Linked DNA regions of Neodiprion lecontei. The protein of the gene in region 3 binds, or shares a complex with, the protein of the main gene of each other region. Links are inferred from orthologs where the notes say so. Each region holds a gene or a part of one and is shown on either strand. Other genes may lie near its edges. The genes, in order: vacuolar fusion protein CCZ1 homolog, regulator of MON1-CCZ1 complex and vacuolar fusion protein MON1 homolog A.

The links.
Region 1: the proteins of vacuolar fusion protein MON1 homolog A (region 3) and vacuolar fusion protein CCZ1 homolog are in contact, whole or in part, in a cryo-EM structure (PDB 8JBE), measured with the Drosophila melanogaster proteins. The link is inferred for Neodiprion lecontei from reciprocal best matches to the Drosophila melanogaster genes Mon1 and Ccz1. Residues at the interface, in NP_608868.1 of Drosophila melanogaster: Trp112, Gln113, Phe120, Leu142, Val145, Ile146, Leu149, Phe152, Val153, Gln157, Asp158, Ala159, Ile160, Thr161, Ser162, Ile163, His164, Ala165, Gly166, Ile168, Phe170, Phe172, Arg185, Arg459, Ser464, Arg465, Pro466, Leu467, Lys468, Leu469; in NP_647835.1 of Drosophila melanogaster: Lys48, Gly51, Leu52, Ile56, Phe59, Thr60, Thr62, Phe63, Thr64, Asp68, Cys69, Gln70, Ala71, Leu72, His73, Thr74, Gln75, Lys76, Thr77, Ala114, Glu115, Ala412, Asp413, Asn416, Pro427, Ala428, Glu429, Glu430, Val431, Gln432.
Region 2: the proteins of vacuolar fusion protein MON1 homolog A (region 3) and regulator of MON1-CCZ1 complex are in contact, whole or in part, in a cryo-EM structure (PDB 8JBE), measured with the Drosophila melanogaster proteins. The link is inferred for Neodiprion lecontei from reciprocal best matches to the Drosophila melanogaster genes Mon1 and Bulli. Residues at the interface, in NP_608868.1 of Drosophila melanogaster: Pro416, Glu417, Arg419, His438, Pro439, Glu445, Arg448, Met473, Lys474, Glu475, Arg476, Glu494, Pro495, Val496; in NP_648047.2 of Drosophila melanogaster: Ile561, Arg565, Lys568, Asp590, Leu592, His595, Ser596, Arg599, Phe600, Met603, Phe631, Pro632.

What each region holds. Positions count from the first base shown.
Region 1 is NC_060261.1:2,310,832-2,316,143, reverse strand, and holds vacuolar fusion protein CCZ1 homolog, read left to right. Parts: upstream 1-1,814; 5' UTR 1,815-2,014; coding exon 2,015-2,089; intron 2,090-2,429; coding exon 2,430-2,527; intron 2,528-2,587; coding exon 2,588-2,699; intron 2,700-2,782; coding exon 2,783-2,998; intron 2,999-3,075; coding exon 3,076-3,251; intron 3,252-3,352; coding exon 3,353-3,496; intron 3,497-3,604; coding exon 3,605-3,750; intron 3,751-3,849; coding exon 3,850-4,114; intron 4,115-4,180; coding exon 4,181-4,308; intron 4,309-4,404; coding exon 4,405-4,457; 3' UTR 4,458-4,766; downstream 4,767-5,312. Other genes in the region: probable 28S rRNA (cytosine(4447)-C(5))-methyltransferase, read right to left, coding at 4,966-5,312. UniProt on the Drosophila melanogaster protein: Part of the Mon1-Ccz1 guanyl-nucleotide exchange factor complex specific for Rab7 that promotes the exchange of GDP to GTP, converting Rab7 from an inactive GDP-bound form into an active GTP-bound form.
Region 2 is NC_060263.1:20,634,367-20,640,283, reverse strand, and holds regulator of MON1-CCZ1 complex, read right to left. Parts: upstream 4,273-5,917; 5' UTR 4,092-4,272; coding exon 3,972-4,091; intron 3,897-3,971; exon of another isoform or gene 3,866-3,896; coding exon 3,560-3,865; intron 3,445-3,559; coding exon 3,270-3,444; intron 3,195-3,269; coding exon 3,035-3,194; intron 2,954-3,034; coding exon 2,848-2,953; intron 2,625-2,847; coding exon 2,471-2,624; intron 2,394-2,470; coding exon 2,330-2,393; intron 2,242-2,329; coding exon 2,022-2,241; intron 1,948-2,021; coding exon 1,778-1,947; intron 1,667-1,777; coding exon 1,391-1,666; intron 1,290-1,390; coding exon 1,032-1,289; intron 884-1,031; coding exon 874-883; 3' UTR 522-873; downstream 1-521. Other genes in the region: transcriptional regulator ATRX-like, read right to left, coding at 1-65, 173-262; cytochrome c oxidase assembly factor 3, mitochondrial, read left to right, coding at 4,959-5,219; dimethyladenosine transferase 1, mitochondrial, read left to right, coding at 5,322-5,917. UniProt on the Drosophila melanogaster protein: Positive regulator of the Rab7 guanyl-nucleotide exchange activity of the Mon1-Ccz1 complex, possibly by enhancing its endosomal membrane association.
Region 3 is NC_060260.1:35,646,451-35,652,525, reverse strand, and holds vacuolar fusion protein MON1 homolog A, read left to right. Parts: upstream 1-1,954; 5' UTR 1,955-2,086; coding exon 2,087-2,356; intron 2,357-2,432; coding exon 2,433-2,755; intron 2,756-2,955; coding exon 2,956-3,199; intron 3,200-3,498; coding exon 3,499-3,783; intron 3,784-3,858; coding exon 3,859-4,049; intron 4,050-4,121; coding exon 4,122-4,224; intron 4,225-4,364; coding exon 4,365-4,505; 3' UTR 4,506-5,543; downstream 5,544-6,075. Other genes in the region: mediator of RNA polymerase II transcription subunit 20, read left to right, coding at 652-762, 890-982; pre-mRNA-splicing factor 38A, read right to left, coding at 5,705-6,069. UniProt on the Drosophila melanogaster protein: Part of the Mon1-Ccz1 guanyl-nucleotide exchange factor complex specific for Rab7 that promotes the exchange of GDP to GTP, converting Rab7 from an inactive GDP-bound form into an active GTP-bound form.

The DNA.
Region 1 (5,312 bases), on a different chromosome or scaffold from region 3:
CCGAAAAAAAAGTCGAATTGCACACTAAAATCTCACAGTATAGATTTTTCTGAACATTATTACTCTTATAATAAAATTTGTACCAAAACTATGTGGCCAAAACACGTGTATTATAAACGGGGAAATCCATCCTCTTACAGGGAGGATTTAGAATTGAGATAAAAATCTGAAAAAATTAGGGAACTGTTTTTGAATTGTTTGAAGTCGATTTGAAGGGCGGCACGGAAAAAGATCGGCAACACCGTAAATAAGGATCACCCTAATTGTGCACATACATAGTTGAATTGAGACACGCATCGAGCATCAGTTTGATTTGATACAAAATAACATCGAGGGCCTTAGAGATCAAGGGTATGTAGTACTCGCAGACCCTTTGCGTTTATTTGTTTATTCAATATAGGAAGAAAAAGGGGGACTTTCCTCGGTCGGTAAGGATAGGAGTACTACATACCCTTCATTCGCAAACTAAAAATGTAGCCCAGGAGCACCTGTATGTGTTCACATGTTTTCCGCCGTCACATAGGCGAAAGGCACTACTCGACGCGCACAGATTGCCTACATACAGGCAGATTTAAACGCATATACAATAATTTACGATCCTTACACGCGCATTTCAATAATAACGAAATTCAGGAAACAGATATGCGTTAAAAAAACGATCGTCGAGATTCTCAGTGACCCTGTTTTACTGGATCGTAATATTTCCGCAAGCGTGTATGCAGTTAATAAGTTGTACAAAGATCCTTACCTAGAATTGTGAATTGTAACCGGGAGTCCTCGTGAATACTCTTTTGATGCCGTATCATCCTCAAACACTGCTGGTTGCCCATTTGCACTGATTTACACAACTAGACTGCACTGATTTACACTGCTAGACTGCACCGAAGGTCACCGATTGATGGTCATTACGCGAATGCTCTACTTCGGCTGGACGAAGGTCGAGGAAATATACAAACCAGCGTCGAACGAAAATCGCACCGTCAAACTTTGTTGATTCGGCTGTCTCGCGACCTTGTTTTCCCGCTAAACTATCAACCACACCGCATTCCGTAATTATTCCAACGAATACACACTTTATCTGCGATAAGTCAGTACATTATTTCACTTTAAACACAACACACCAACTTCAACTTACACGCGGTTAATTGGATTACATGAACGAAACTCAACGTCAGTCGAATAATAATGAAAATGGCTACTTGATCGTTTGTCACTTGTTTGTCAGAGCTTGCGTATCCCGCCAAAATTTACGAAATGTCGATGCAAGCGCCATCATGGTGAAATCAAGAGTATCAAATTGATCGGTAAGTGCGTCGGTAGGTGAGGTAGTATTTTTCCGACAATTACATGCAGCGAAAATTCGAATTTGCTTACCATAGAAGCACGTTTTGTTGCTGTCATGATATGAATTCCTTTGTTTGACCAAACTTCCGCATCAAATAAGTCGGTATTTACGCTCACAATCAACTCGTCAGCAGCGGAGATTCTTCATCCGGATCAATCAGACCACCTTTCGTTAAATATTCCAACGTGTAGAGTCATAAGTATGTGCTGGATTCGTAAGTCGCAGATCACTCACTGTTGGAGCACTGTCGAGACGTCTCACACCGAACAACACACCGAACACGTTGACTGACCTAACTTCAGTGAGCCGATATTCTCCTTGTTCAAACTTGGAGTCTGTATTGAAAATGGCGACTTAGACAGCCAGCGCCACTGACGGACATTTTACAAACTACGAAAGCAATGATGATTTTCACTTTCTTGGTCGGCATCTATTTTAACAACAGTTTACGGAATAAACCACGGACTTAGCATGGACCGTGGAATAAACTAGTCTCATAATCAGTTTCCAACTAGCTGTCAGAATTCTCTCTGACAGAGCGTTGATTGGTGTTGATAGGAGCGATATAGCGTTAAATTTTATTTAATAATAATATGATATACGTCGAATTATTTTGTTAGCGTCGAATTAATTTATCCATAGCTGTACCGCTAATCTGAATCAACTGAAATGACATCGAAGACTGAAATTACGTTGGAACATTTTTATATTTTCAATGGAACATACGCAAAGAAGGAAGGAGAGGTAAGAATTTTGTCAGTATTATTTGTCGTCGAAGTATTTCTGGTCTTAAATTTAACTCGAGTTTAATTTCTCTTCCTTCTTTAGACACAATTGCACAAAAACACTATCGACATGTATTTGTCTGTACAGATGACTAAAGCTCGTGATGATAAACGATTTTTGTGACTCACAAATTATCATATCAGAGAACATGTGCACTAGAAAAATCCAGTTACTGAAATGTTATTCAATTATTTATAGTATACCATTACGGAACAGTGAATCAATATTTATTTTATTTTAATTTTAAGCATGAATTTTTTTATTAAAGTTCATTAATTTACACCTCTTATTATTTTAGGAAGAGAAAAAGATTCTGTACTATTATCCAGTTTCAACGGATTCGGAAACACAAATAAAAAATATCGGACTTGGAGAGGCGATCATTAAATTTACCCAGTAAGTAAACAATAAGAATCAGTGTTGAAATAGTCGATGTTTACTACTGGATAATCAAAGTTTTCTTTTAATCGACAGATCCTTCAGCCCCGGACAAACATGTGATTACTGTCATACTCACAAAACCCGACAAATCTATTTCGAACCCGAGCCAGATTTCTGGATGGTTATGGTATTTGTTTTCTCATTCTTACAATATCCTACACGTGCTTTCAACTCAATTGTATCAATCACTTGGTTTTTTAATCCCCGCAGATTGTAGGCATACCTTATCTTTGGAAGACCAAAGACGATACGGAATATATTGAGTATCAGCATGACGAAGTATCGAGCAGCGTATGTCAAGCGATCCTAAAACAAACTTACGCCATGTTCAAACTGTTCATGGGCTCTTTTAATACCATTTTAAATGACCCTGATTGCGGTTCAGTTCTTTTATTAAAGCATAAACTGGATCACTTTTACTCAAGGGTAATTAACGATGAAGTCACATTTTTTCTCCAACCCAACTTTGATCGATAAATTTTATTTTTACCATTTCATTTCAGTACCTGCCATCTCTGAAATTGAACAACAGTGACATTTTAGATGTTTTTCAAGGCTTGCAATTTTTACCATTAGACAAGACGACGTTTCTCCACGTTCAATGTTTTATGAATCTCGTCGAAGCAATGTTTTCTCAAGTAAAATACACCGCTTTCCTATACAATGATCAACTAGTCTGGTGAGTAAAGCAGTGATAAGCAAAGGTATCGATTACACTAGAGACAAAGTTCGAACAATTTTTTCGACTAGACGATCGATAAAAAATATTGCTTTTATTAGGAGCGGGCTGGAGCCTCAAGACATGCAAGTTGTTTACAACTATTTAGTAAGCACATTGTTACCAGCTCACCTTGAAACTGAATTACATGGTGGATCCATGCCCCGTAATTCTCCATCCCCGTTCACAACCTCGCACTACGGAAAGTGAGTTTCGACTCTTCACAATCAGAGAATTTGCAAACAAAACGCACCATTAGTCTTGATTATTATTGATCACGCAATAAACATCAATCTTTGAATTTTGTATTTCAGGTTCGTAACAGGTCCTAGCAGCATTAATGAACCCAGTGGAATAGGCAAATTACCCAAAGTGTTCATAAATTATTCCACAACGCCAGTTTCCCTGTATTTAGTAGTGTATCGTGCACTGAGTGCAACGATATGTTTATTTGTGGACAGTAAGTATACTTCGACAGTACTTTGCAGTAAAATTATTCACAACTGTTGAACAATGCAAACGTTAGATACTCTTGCTAATTTGTATATATTCGTTAAAGGCAAGACCAGCTTGCTTATGGATCTTTTTAAAAGCCTCGACACGTTTCTCGGGCCCCAATTAACCACGCTGGTCAGTCTGGTGGCGGAACAGTGTTCAAAGCACGTGTCATTCAGCGCTGAATCATGCCCGAAGTATTTGTACTTCAACAAGCTGAATTTAGCCTATAAAAGCACGATTCATTTGGATAATAGACGCTGTTCTAACGTATTAACGACACCTGAAGTGCTACGGATAATAACTGATATAAATAATGATACAAAAAAGTATGTAAACATAAATCAAACTTTTCATGCACACAGCTTTACCAATGAGCCTTGATGATATTTCAGATTCAAAGAAGCTGGCGAAATCGTGATAAAAACAATGAGCGAATACTGGGTTGTTGGCAAATTATCGAACTTGAGAGAATTTTTTGTTGTTACGCAACAGAAAAATGCTAATTTAATTGAAATTGATGGTGCGTATAAAAGTGAATAGCAAATTTTTCAAAATGCATTAACAAAATTGAGTTTCAAGCATTATATTTAATAATCAACATACACGATCATTTCAGATGAAGTAAGGCGACTCTGTGATCAACAATTGAAAAGTATATTCTTCCACTAGTGTCAATGATCAATCAGGTACGGTTCTAACATTGAGTTGGCAATCAGAGTCCACGATCAAATTAATTGCTAACTAATATTTTCTGAACCTTTGAACATTTCGGTTGACTTAATATCATCCAACAATCTGCTTGATTATACGTTTATGTATAATTATACAGTCGGATTGACAGGTATATACAAATGTATATAGGTCATAGTGGATTACCTCACCTGTGCTGTACAGCAACATGTAATATAGTAGATAACAAAAATATTCAAAAAATAATACCTATTTACATCACAGTGCAATAAAACTGTACTGACATTAGCTCGGACTCTACAAATTTCTAATTTACGAGGTAAATATTTTTTCCGTTGTTATTTTTATCATAAAAAACGGGGCAACTTTTATAGAGTTATCCTGAAACTGCCTAAAACGTATGACTGACGGTCATTTATAAAATTTCTATAATCAAAATGATGCAAAACATTGGAGTCACTGATTTGCTTTCGTGTATACGATTAGTTTATTCAGATGTAGCGTCATCATCCTCCACAATCTCTTGCTTAACAACCATATTCGAAAACTTTTTCAATTTAGCAACAAAAAATCCGTCCATGTTATGCGTATGGGGATAGAAACGTCTGGTCAATTTAAGAGTCGGGTGAAACCTGTGATGTCGATAGTTTGTAAAGCCTTCCTCACCAAAATCTAAACCAGTTGGTACAAGTTTCACGTCTCGTTTCTTCAAAGCATAATCAACTATCCACTCGTTTTCCTCTGGAAGAATTGAACATGTTGAATAGACGATAATGCCTCCGGTGTCGGAACGTGCATTGACGCTGTCTATGGCAGCCAATAAAAGTTCTCTTT
Region 2 (5,917 bases), on a different chromosome or scaffold from region 3:
CTCGCATTCTCAGCGTTCAATTTATCGAATAGTTTGTCGAGTTTTTCTTTGCTGGGTTCGACGAACTGAAAAATGCGGCAGAACAATTACGATTTAATCGATCTTAGCGATACGGATTCAATGATAAAAAATTTTCTACGCATAGTTTACACTTTACGCAATTGATCTTCACCTCGTTATTTCTCGCTAATTCACTCAGTACTTGTTTATTTTCATCAATTGTATTCACTCGTTCAATTAGACCTCCGACCATCATCGCCATTTTGATAATTCTACCAGCTATCACTTTGCCTCTCTGAAGTTGTAGAGATTGGCTTCGGCGACAACGTGAATGTAGCTATTATTGCGTACTTTAAATCAGTTCGTTATGCATTCGGTGAAAAGTTTGTGGATAATGAGAGACGTTCGATTTTTTGTCAACTTGTCATTCGTGGGAACCACAAAGTAATAGTAACTTCGTGATGGGAACGAAAATATACCAGACTTATTCCATGCGGTAATATTCAGTCAATAATAGTAAATTCAAAAACAAATATTTTACATATATTATCCTCATAATAACATATCCCACGGAAATGTTTTTATACAATATTATAATTTACACAACAGAGCTTCAAGCAGCACCATTCTCAACACAGCATTAATTATAATGTATCACAGAACAGTACGAGAAATGAAACGGAATGACCGTAAGATTACAAATAGTTTGCTAGTTCCTTACTTTCTGCATTTTTCTGGTTTTCCATGCATGTTTATCATCCTGTTCACAAATTTCACAAATTCTTGATTGCACTAGTCTTGTGAATTGTGGGCATTGAACAAAAACATAAGCGTGATGATACGCGAATGCTGAGTTAATTATTCCTGATAATTTCAGCCAAACCTTAAGGTAGAGGAAAAAAAAAATAATACCATTTGATTATTTGGTACATAACCATGGCTGTTTCTATTATAACTCGCTATTCAATGCATGACCAAATCAATATGTATAATTGTGTTACGATTAGCAAATAAATTGCGATTCGACCTACGATGACATAGTCGATACATTTGAATTTGTATCTGAATTACAGCCGTTGTCAGTTCCTTGGAATAAATATTTAAAATGCTGTACATATGTTTGACAATGTTCCCCTCTTGTGAAAGCAGTTGTGTTATGGAGTCTCAAATTGCGATTTTCGAAGAACTTATAAACGGAGTGAAACAACTTAGGATCGTTCGAGGTCTTTGCTGCTTCCAAAAATTTGCGAGCAGAAACCTGATCGATTATTCCGACCGATCTGACATACCTGTAATGGAAAGATATGTATTTTCTCCAGGCGGATCACCTTGAAATATGAAATTTCATTTTTACAATTGTAAGATGCATTTTCAAGGGTGTTCAGCTCACCGTAATGCCGGTAATATGTGTCCTTTGGATAGCAAGACTTCCATTATTTCTTCGTGAGCATTTCCTAATCGCTTGAGCATATCTAGCGCAAGTTGGTGAGCAGCTGGATAGAGACTTTCCAAAGACAGTAGAAGACAGGCGAGTGGTTTTGAGTCAGCGACAACGTGATACTGTAGCAACTGATGCAGCTGATAGTAAGCCTTCCGGTGAACCAAAGTCGTGATTACCAATTCATGGAGGTAGTGCTGAACAGGTATATCATGATCGGCCAGAGACCTAAGGAAAAAAAATCGGAGAAAGTTCATTGAGAGATTTTATACCCAGGGAGCTATACGCTGAAAAAAAAAAAAACTCTTTTCAAACTACACTTTTCGTCAAGGCATGTACCTAATGTATTCCAACAGTATCCAAACCACCATTTTTGGCTCTGTCGTGTCCTCGGGAAACTTTGACAATATGTAAGTGTACATATCGCTCTGATCAATTATTTGTTTGTATTTAATGTTTTCTGACACTGTGGCGACACCTTTGGACCCAATTTGCAGCGGCGTTCCCATCTGTCGATTGATCGATAGAAGATGAATGTGCAATGGGTTTTTTATCGCTATTATTCATCACAATGGTCACTTACTTGGCTTTGCAACTCATTTTCGAGGTGGTTACGATAAACAGTGTTCAACTTATCAAAAATCGTTGACATGTACAACAAGCTTGACGGTAGCTGAGTAACATTTTCCTTCACAACTTGCATCAAAACCTGCTTGGAATCATTTCGTTGCATTAAAAACTCAACGAGCAGTACTTTGTCGGGGATTAATTTTACCAACGATTCAAGTCGCAGCTTAACAAACCTGTGAATTAATCGACAACTTCTTTACTCCATGCATCTTTTAAACTCCTAGATTGAAAACAAGTTGAATATTTTTCTCATAAACTTACCAAAGGCATCCTAATTTTGCATCGATTATTATATTTGGTTGAAAAACAACCCAGCCAGGGGAATCTAAGAGAAATTAAGTAAAACGCTTGGTGATCAATGTTGTTATTTTTATAATCATTATCTTTTTTTCAAAAGGATACAAAGTAGACAGGGCTGAGATAATTGCTCTAGCAGAGTCGTGCCAGGGACCTTCAAACTGTATGGTCTTATCGGCTTGGGTGCAGCTATACTGGTATGATGCATCACAGTGCCGTCGCTCACTCCCGGCAATTTAATGTCAAAAATCATCGAAGTCTGTAATTTATCAATCAATTACTCTCGAGATAAAACTCAAAGACTGCCATGTTTCAATGGTAAGAAAAAGTGCTTCGAATTGGTTCACAATCAGTAATGAAAAATGATGCTAAACTGCTTCTATAAAATAAGCAGTACATATCAGCAGATTTATCTCCTACCAGTCAATAGTCTGAAAAAAATACCGTTTTCAAAAAGGTAGTTCTTTGTGAACAAGACTTACTTCGGATGCTTGGTGATGCACAATTATAAGATTGTCGATAACATTGATTGCGAATCGGCCACTAGTGTCGAGTTTTAAAATGTGGCTCTTCTTTATCGTGAGCATTCTGAAACATTGGATCATCAATGAATCATTGAGAGTACTTTGAAAGAGGTAAAATCGGAGAAAAAGCAAATTACAAAATTACTTATGCACTGTGTAGACGTAGACTTGAGCCGTACCAAGGCTTCGATTGATTCCTGGTTGATGGCGCAGCACAATTATTGATGGGGTTCCGTAAAGAACTGCCAACGCTACATCTCTCTCCGAAACTGCGAGCTTCCCAGGTTTCGTGGCTCCAGCCTCCACTGAAACAATGCAATATCTATCTCCGTTAATCGGCTAATCAATCTCCAAAGTTAATCCCGAGAAGTTTGTCTCACTTTCAAATTTGGTGAGCTTGTGCAAGTTTCCAGGAGTGATATGCAGCGCTTGCATTTGGTTGCCGATGGTACCAGACGAGAGGAGAACGAGGTAGCTTTGAGGGCAGAAGACAAACCAATTGACTCCCAAACTGAGGGATTTCAGTGCTTTGACAGTTCGCTTCTCTGGAACCACCTAAAAAATATAGAGTATTATTGATCTAACATCTACACAGACTTATATGGTGCTTTTTACAGTGATCACACATGGAGGAAAAGTAGGTAGAAAAAAATCTCTGCCTGATACTCACCAAAAACAGTTCCACTCCGTGATCTGTGACGAATAAAATTTCATTGCTGTGTGTCCAGACGAAGCCTAAGATAGAGGCATTCTTTCCTTTACAAGTCTGCGAGTATTCCACATTGTCCAATCCGGAGGCCGATGAGTAATTGATGAACTCGACAGAAGTATTAGTCCGTTGTATAGCAAGGATGTTCATGTCGAGCGAGAACTTGATTGAGATTATGGGACCCTTGTCTTCCATTCTGAAATTCAAATTGTGCTCCGGACCCTTGACCAGGACCCCGATAACGCCCTCTGAACGAACAGCGAATACCTACAGCATGAATTTTGCAGCTGTCAAGGGGCTATCAAACGAGGGATAATCCATCATTAATATTTTAGGTTATCAATGCAGTTTAAGAAAATCCAAATAAAGAGACCTGCTTGTTCGTGTCATCGAAGAAAACATTTGTCAACGGGCTGATCGATTCGAATCTCACAGGATCAGGCGACAATTCGAGGTAATAATCATCGTTTCCTTCACTACTTGTTGATTCCATTTTTCGCTATTTGACAGCTCGCAGAAGACTAACACAACCTGATTCACACGTATCAGTAAATTCGCTTACACAGCAAAAGCCACGTCATTGGTTATTTCCAATTTACTCGAAGATACAATTGGCTGAAAACATCAGGGCTCCTGCGACTTGTCATTAACGAAACTACCTATGGATGATGGTCGGTGAGAAAGGTACAACTGCAATCGTCGCTATATGGTAGGTGACGATTTGTGCAATGGTAGCGTCGTCTAGCGGAGATTGAAGATTCTAATAAAACTGGGCCTCATCATCATCACATTCTAATGCCATCATGGTGACAATCGACGTAACCTACGTGTGTTGAAGATCATCCCATAAATTCTGCAATATAGAGGTGAGTCATTGCAAAATATCAACGGTTTTTACGATTAAGTAATGTGGTTCGCCGTTAACGGTTCCGATTAAGTATCGTGGTTACAAATGTCCCGGTACTTGGAGCGTAGGTACAGACTCCGCGATGTTCTAACCTCTAATTGCGATCCCACGACAATTTATTGATGATCACTAATCAACCGGGGAATTTTCAGTTTTCCAATGATTTTTCTTATCCCCATGATAATTTTTCCCAACTATCAGCTTTGTTGCCGTTTAAATAATATCAATATATTTCTAGTCATTTAGTTGTCACAAAGATCGTTCTTATTTCATTCTTACAGTAAACGATACTATAACTTGTATTGAATCGAATGATAATAAAAAAGAACTTCTACAAAACATAGAATATTGCTTGTATACAACGGCGCAATCACAAAATAGGATAAAAATGAATAAATGTTTTTTTCGTTTCATTTATGAAGCTTTGTTCACTCGTTTTCAGATCGTTGTGCAATGGCTGATGAGCAGATGCCAAAAATCCATGAAGGGAAAAACTTTCGTAAACTAACGCTTGTCGAACAAGAGTACATGCGACTTATAGAAGAGAGGAATCTTGAGAGAGTGGCCAGCTTGAAACGAATGCAAAGAAACAACAGATATACCGGTCTAGCGCTAGGAGCATTGGTTCTAGGAATATACGGGTACTCCATGTATGCAGTTCGCCAGGAAAATTTCCTTGATGATTTCGAAGAGCCAGTAAAAACGACAGAATAACAATTATCGTGAAGGCAACGATAATATAGGATTAGATATATTCATAGGTTGTTACGATCTAACATTGAAAAAATATACAGAAAATAATAAGTTCACACCAAAATGACCATTCTAAGATTACCTCCGTTGCCCACAATAAGAGATTTGGTTAAACTGTATCGCCTTCAAGCGCGTAAACAGTTGTCCCAAAACTTTTTAATGGACGAACGTCTCACAGATAAAATCATCAAAACAGCAGGTAGAATAAAAGATGGACATATATTGGAAGTCGGACCTGGACCAGGGGGATTGACGCGATCGATAATGAGAAAGTATCCACAGAGGTTAATAGTAGTTGAGAAAGACAATAGATTTTTGCCTACGTTGCAGCTACTCCAAGAAACATTTCAAAACGTCAATGGCGAAATGGAAATAATCATAGGAGATATATTGAATGTAAATTTGAACTTGTTTCCTGAGTGTGAGAAAAAAAGCTGGGAAGATATTCCACCAAGGATTCATTTGATCGGTAATCTACCATTCAGCGTATCGACTCATCTTATTATCGTCTGGCTTAAAGCTATCTCTGAGAAAAGTGGACCGTGGGCCATGGGAAGAACCAAAATGACACTCACATTTCAAAAGGAAGTTGCTGAACGCCTCGTCTCAGAAGCATACGCTCGGGATCGCTGCAGATTGTCAGTCATGGCACAGACTTG
Region 3 (6,075 bases):
TCTATGTTAGTACAATTATGTACATATTAGATTTCTTCGAAAGCCTGTCGCGAAATGTCGTCACGTTCATATCAAGCCGATGAAAAGTCCGCGAGCTTTAATCTCTCTACGTGGAATTCTACGACGCGGTTACGCAGCTCCCTGGGTGTTATACTAATCAGCAGATTGGCGGTTAAACCGAGGTTCATAACAGAAATCTTCTTTAAATCTAAATATTTAGTCCCATTGACGTCTCTGCGTCGTAGGATAAATTTTCAAGCCTCTGAACAACGTTGAGCATTCATTTGGCTAAATCAATATTTCTGCATTACACACAACCGGCGAATTACGCCAACGCTATGAAGGTTCTGTTGATTTAAGAATAAGTTAGAAACGAAGTCAAAAGGTGCGCGAATATCATTGTTTTCTTCAAGCTGACGTAATAACATTTCTCCTGTATTAAATTTCTATCATACGGTTCATCGAACCCCATTTATCGATCGCCTTCTATGTATGTTTATAAAATAATTTCTTTTGATCGAAACATTACGCTTCGGGGGGATTTTTCTTCACTTTTTTTTTTGCCCAATGGTTCGCTTCATCTTAAAAAATGATCGTGTCATCCTGAGAAATAATTCATAATAACAGATTTGAATAAAAAATCTTTCACAGGTCGAATATCGGCCCTGCGTCATTCCGGGTAGCTCGTGGGAGTTGATGAGAGAATTTCTACAAGGTTTCCTCGGATCAGCTGTACCGAATCAAGCTCCTCAGTATTTACAAGTAAGATAAACGAAGATAATATATATACGACTCTCCTTTTTACGACTGGAATTTGAAAATAAACCCCTGGCAATTTATAACTACGGGATCAAGTGAATTGTTGTAATTTGTTTAAAACATGTTACAGAATCGAATGAATGAGATTTATCAACCTATGGATACCATACAGCAATATTTGGAGCATTTTGGACAGTACAGAAAATCTACCAGCGTCATATAAGCTACAGCCACTTATCGTCAAATACAGTGTTACAACATCCCAAAAAGACTTAATCTCTGTGTCTTATTCAACTTTATGATACTCATAATCGGGAGATTAAATAGAAATCCAAAAATCTTACCCGTCTTGTATGAATTTTTAACATAGATAATTATGCTCAGTATTAAAATCTATTGGTATGTCATCGCATTCACGAATAAAGAGTTTCGATCGGCATGTAAAAGCTTCATTGAATCAATAAGAAGAATTTATGAATGCTCAAGGCGTCTTCCAAGTTTTATTTTCAGGCAAGGGAACCTTGAAGAATAGTTCCAAAACTTTTGAAACGAGATTATGTTTCTTCCTAACCACACTGAAGTTGACAAACATATGTAACATTTATATACGAATTGATATTGTGATAAATAAGTAAGTTCCAGAAATTCCTGTCACATGCCTATAAGTTGTTTTCGATAATTTTTTGCATGTAATATATTTGACTTGTGCATACATAGTGATAATCAGCAGGTTATGATTAATCAGTTTCAGACACAGTAATTTCAAAAGTTTCTGATAACTCTTCTGAAAACGCGATTGAAAATAAAAATATCCATATGCATACTGATAATGTAGGTGCGCGTTTTTTTTGTAATTTTTCGTCCGCACATTACGCAATTTTCAGTCAAGGATATTGTGTACGAATCATCGATATAACGGCTATTGTATGTCAAAGAATTTCCCGCACGCATGCAAATGACTGAAGTAAGAATTGAGTGACAGAATTCTTTATTCGATCCATACGTTTCAAATATTTGTTTGACAATTATACGTAATTGAATTTTAATTTTGCGTTGGACACAGCTTTTGCTCCAAGGACGGAGTTCGAACCGATTGATATATTCCCGCTGATAATCTAGGGATATTTTGTCAAGTCGTTGCATGGCGTTGGCAGCGGTGCGCAATTCCAGGGGCTCCCAGTGGGCGACGTGCATAAAGATAACAGCGACGACGTAATGCTGGTCGCAAACATGTTGGCCGCGCTGTCATGGCCGGCTGATGATTGACAAACGTCAATTTTGTAGGAAAAGTGTGAACCGTGAGTCGACTAATTAAATTAGCGTAAAAATGGCCAATCCCGAGGCACCTGGTGTCGACGACGTTATAGCCGAGCCAGGAATCGAGCCTGGGGCTTCGGCCGAGACGATGCTAGTGACGACTGATAGTTTCGAGGAATACGAGCAGGAAATGAGCAACAGCATAGACGACAGGCAAATGAAGGAAAGCACGACTAGCACGATATCCGAACTCCAGGAGGACATTCGAGAGGCCCCGCCGACGCCAACGGCGGTCAGCCCCACGGAGCCAAAGCCTGAACCTCCCGACGATTTGGAGCTCGTGAGTCTCCTAACCTCTAACCTGACAGGAGGGGTCGAATTCAAATTGCTCAGTACGCAGATTTCCCATTTTTTAGGAGGACAACACGCAGCAGCTCAGTTTGAATAGTCTGGAAATTGACCCACTGAGGAACACGACGTGGCTAGCACAGAGAAAGCATATATTCATACTGAGCCAGGCGGGAAAACCCATTTACTCGAGGCACAGCTCCGAGGATAAACTCGTCACACTTATGGGCGTTATGCAGGCGTTAGTTTCATTCGTTCAAGCTGGTAACGACATGATCAGATCGGTCCACGCGGGCGATACTAATTTCGTTTTCGTTGTCAAAGGTCCACTTATCTTAGTCACTGTGTCTAAAACACTGGAAAGTGTGCCGCAGCTAGTTTTACAGCTAACGTGAGTTTATTGCAGAATTCATTCTTACAATATGCAATCCTTTATTACAGAGTCATGATACTTATTTTCCTCAAGATATCGGTATTTCTAATTATGTGTGAAAATAGAAATAAGTTTATTTTCTTTTTAATATCCCAGTTCATATTGTTCACTGACTGTTTTCATTGAACCCATTCAATAGACCTAAAATTTGCTTACAGATATGTGTATAATCAAATAGTTTCCGTCCTCACGCAATCTCAACTGACGAGGGTTTACGAACAGAGGCGAAACTTTGATTTGCGAAGATTATTGACAGGCAGCGAGAGGTTAATCGATCATTTGTTGAATTTTATGGATAAAGAGCCAGCCTTTTTTCTAGGTGCTATTAAGTGCTTGCCTTTGTTGCCCTCCATGAGGGATGCTATTAGTCAAACCATTGTTCAAACTTGTGGCAAAATTAAGGTGAGGAAGCACAGTGTTTGTGTACCTTGAGTGATTCAAAAACGTAACGTTCTATATTTGTCTCTCTTATCAAGCCTGTCTTTTATTATCATTTTGTTTGTAGTACTCCCTGTGTTGTAAATCTTCATTTTATTTCTTCTTCATTGTGTCATCTATACTTGCTTTGATTCTCCATCTTATCCAGCATTGCTATGGATAAAATAAAAATATCTATTTATCTACCTGTCTTATAGCAAAATTTATATAAAACTTACATGGGATAAAAATAACAATGAGCTCACTGATAAAAAAAATTTCAGAATCTGGTGTTTGCGATACTACTGGCTAATAATCAGCTGGTAACATTGGTCAGAATGAAAAAATATTTCATACACCCTGCTGACTTACATTTGATCCAAAATTTGGTCGCCAGCTCGGAGTCGTTCAAAACGGTAGAAAGCTGGACGCCAATATGTTTGCCCAAGTTTGATTCCAATGGGTTTATGCACGGTCATGTTTCGTACCTGGCAGAGGATTGCCAAGCTTGTTTATTACTTCTGACTGTCGACAAAGACGTGTTCTATTCTCTATCGGATGCCAAGCAAGTAAGCAAACTCTTATGAATTCATTGAAGAAGATGATCTATTATTGATTATCATATCTTGCTAATTTCTCATCAGAAAATAGTTGAGAAATTACGAAGGACAAATTGTTTGGAAGCAATCAATGAGTCAATGAACAAAGCATCCATCACAACAGCAGAAATTGGTTTACCTGAGATGCGACATGTCTTGTACAAATGTAAAAGTACGGCACAATTCTGGAGTCCTGGTTTTCAACCGCCATATACAACTGATGAAGAAATCGAACGGTAAATTTTTGTATTAAAAAAAAAATAATATGATTTTTAGCAGTGCGTTAATATTTTTATTATAAATTTCAGACTATTGGGACTCTATCAGTGCCTTCATCACAGACTGCATGCCCCAAATCGACCACTGAAGTTGATATTCCAACAATTGGACAAAGAAACAATGTTAGCTTGGGTAAGGTGTAAAATAATTTGTTTAAAGTATTTAAAACATTTGCTTCAATGATTACTAGTATCAATAACGCACTAGTATTAGTATGAATATTCATATTTCATTTGTGACAAGATTTGCAATTCAGCTCTGATTTTTTTCAGGTAACGTCAGGTTTCGAATTGTATTTGACTTTTGAACCACTGGTGACTAAACCAGATGCGATAAATTCTGTAAGCAAATTGCTGAAATGGATAAAGAAGGAAGAAGAAAGATTATTTATATTGAATTCACCAACGTTCTAGCAAGAATTTGAAATTATGGACAAAAAAGGCTCAAATGTCTCAGCTGTTGCACTGTAGTAACTGTAAATGTGCTGCAAGAAATTTTTTTTTCAAAGTTTTGGTATCGACGATGTATGAAAATTGTAAAAATTGGGAAGGAAGAAAGGTAATATAACGTAGAATGTATAATTTCAAAAGGCTATGACTAGGTACGTTAAGATTTAAGAAATGCAGCAAATCATGTTCAATTTGATTTCGGTTGATGGAAATATTTATTTTTGAGACGATTTCCTCCATCCGTATATTTGCGATCGAAAAACCTATTTTTGACGCATCCGAGAATTGTATTCCCTAGAAGCTCCCTAAATATAGGAGTCTTATACGTGACTAATTGCACGACTAATCGCCCATTCCTTCGTATCTTTAAGTGTATATTGTATACTATATTTTGCTCACTATTTATAATTATGAAATTTGAGATTTGGTAGTTACTTTATTACAAAGTAATACAAACTTAAAATATGTAAATATCGCATAAAATAGATGAAATATCGGTTATTTAGATATTACCGACTTATGCAATTCAGTGGCATTATGGCCATGTTAAGAAAATATTCTTTTATGATTATGCACTGTTTTTACCTTTGATATCTCGAAAATCCAAAAAGAATTTGCAATGCTATTGCAATGTTTTGAACCAATCTGTACATTCTAAAAAATGTATGAAACCGAATTTTTCAATGTCGGTTATTCGTATACAAGCATAAAACATGAAATGATCCACAATCTGTAGTACTAAATAGCTTTCCCAATTAATTCGATACCCGAGTATCGTGGATACTCACACTCCACTGAAACAATGTTCGAGTAAGCTACTATGTAGCAGTTAGTTAAAAAAATTATGTAATTTTAATATTATTAAACTGTAATTAGCTAAGTACAGTTATCGTTTTATTTTAAGCTCTGGCAACTTGAGAACAAAGATATAACAAAAAACATATGTATGAAATGATGTATTTCAAATCATTTTTATGCTAATTACAGAATCTTTCGCTAGAATGATGAATCCCTTTTCAATATTGTTATGACACAGAATTCTTTTAATGATCAAGGTGTACAAGTTGATCTCGTTAGTCATACAAATATGAAGTTACTTACAGAAATGACAATTTGGTATTAATTTTTCATTGTAAATTTGTATTCTCTCATAGTGAGGTGTGTTAGTGCCTAGGCCGCTCTCGTTCTCTCCGACGATCTCGATCTCTTTCTTTCTCCCTGTCGTCCCTTCTGTGCCTATCCTTATCACGATCTTTATCTTTGTGTGATGATGAGGAATACAGTTTAGGAGATTTGCTTCGTTTACGTTCCCTCCTGTCTCTTTCCCGCTCCCTACTTCTGGACCGCCGTTTCTCCCTTTCTACTTTTTTCTCAGGGCGAGCATGTCTCTTTTCTCGATCCCTGTGACGCTCTCTTTCAAAGTCTTCTGTACGTTTACGAACTTCCTCCTTTACTACGGGCACATCTTCGTCATCTGAAGACTCAATTCCCTCATCCATGTCGTCCTCGAGTGCGGATATTTTTCCCTCTGAAA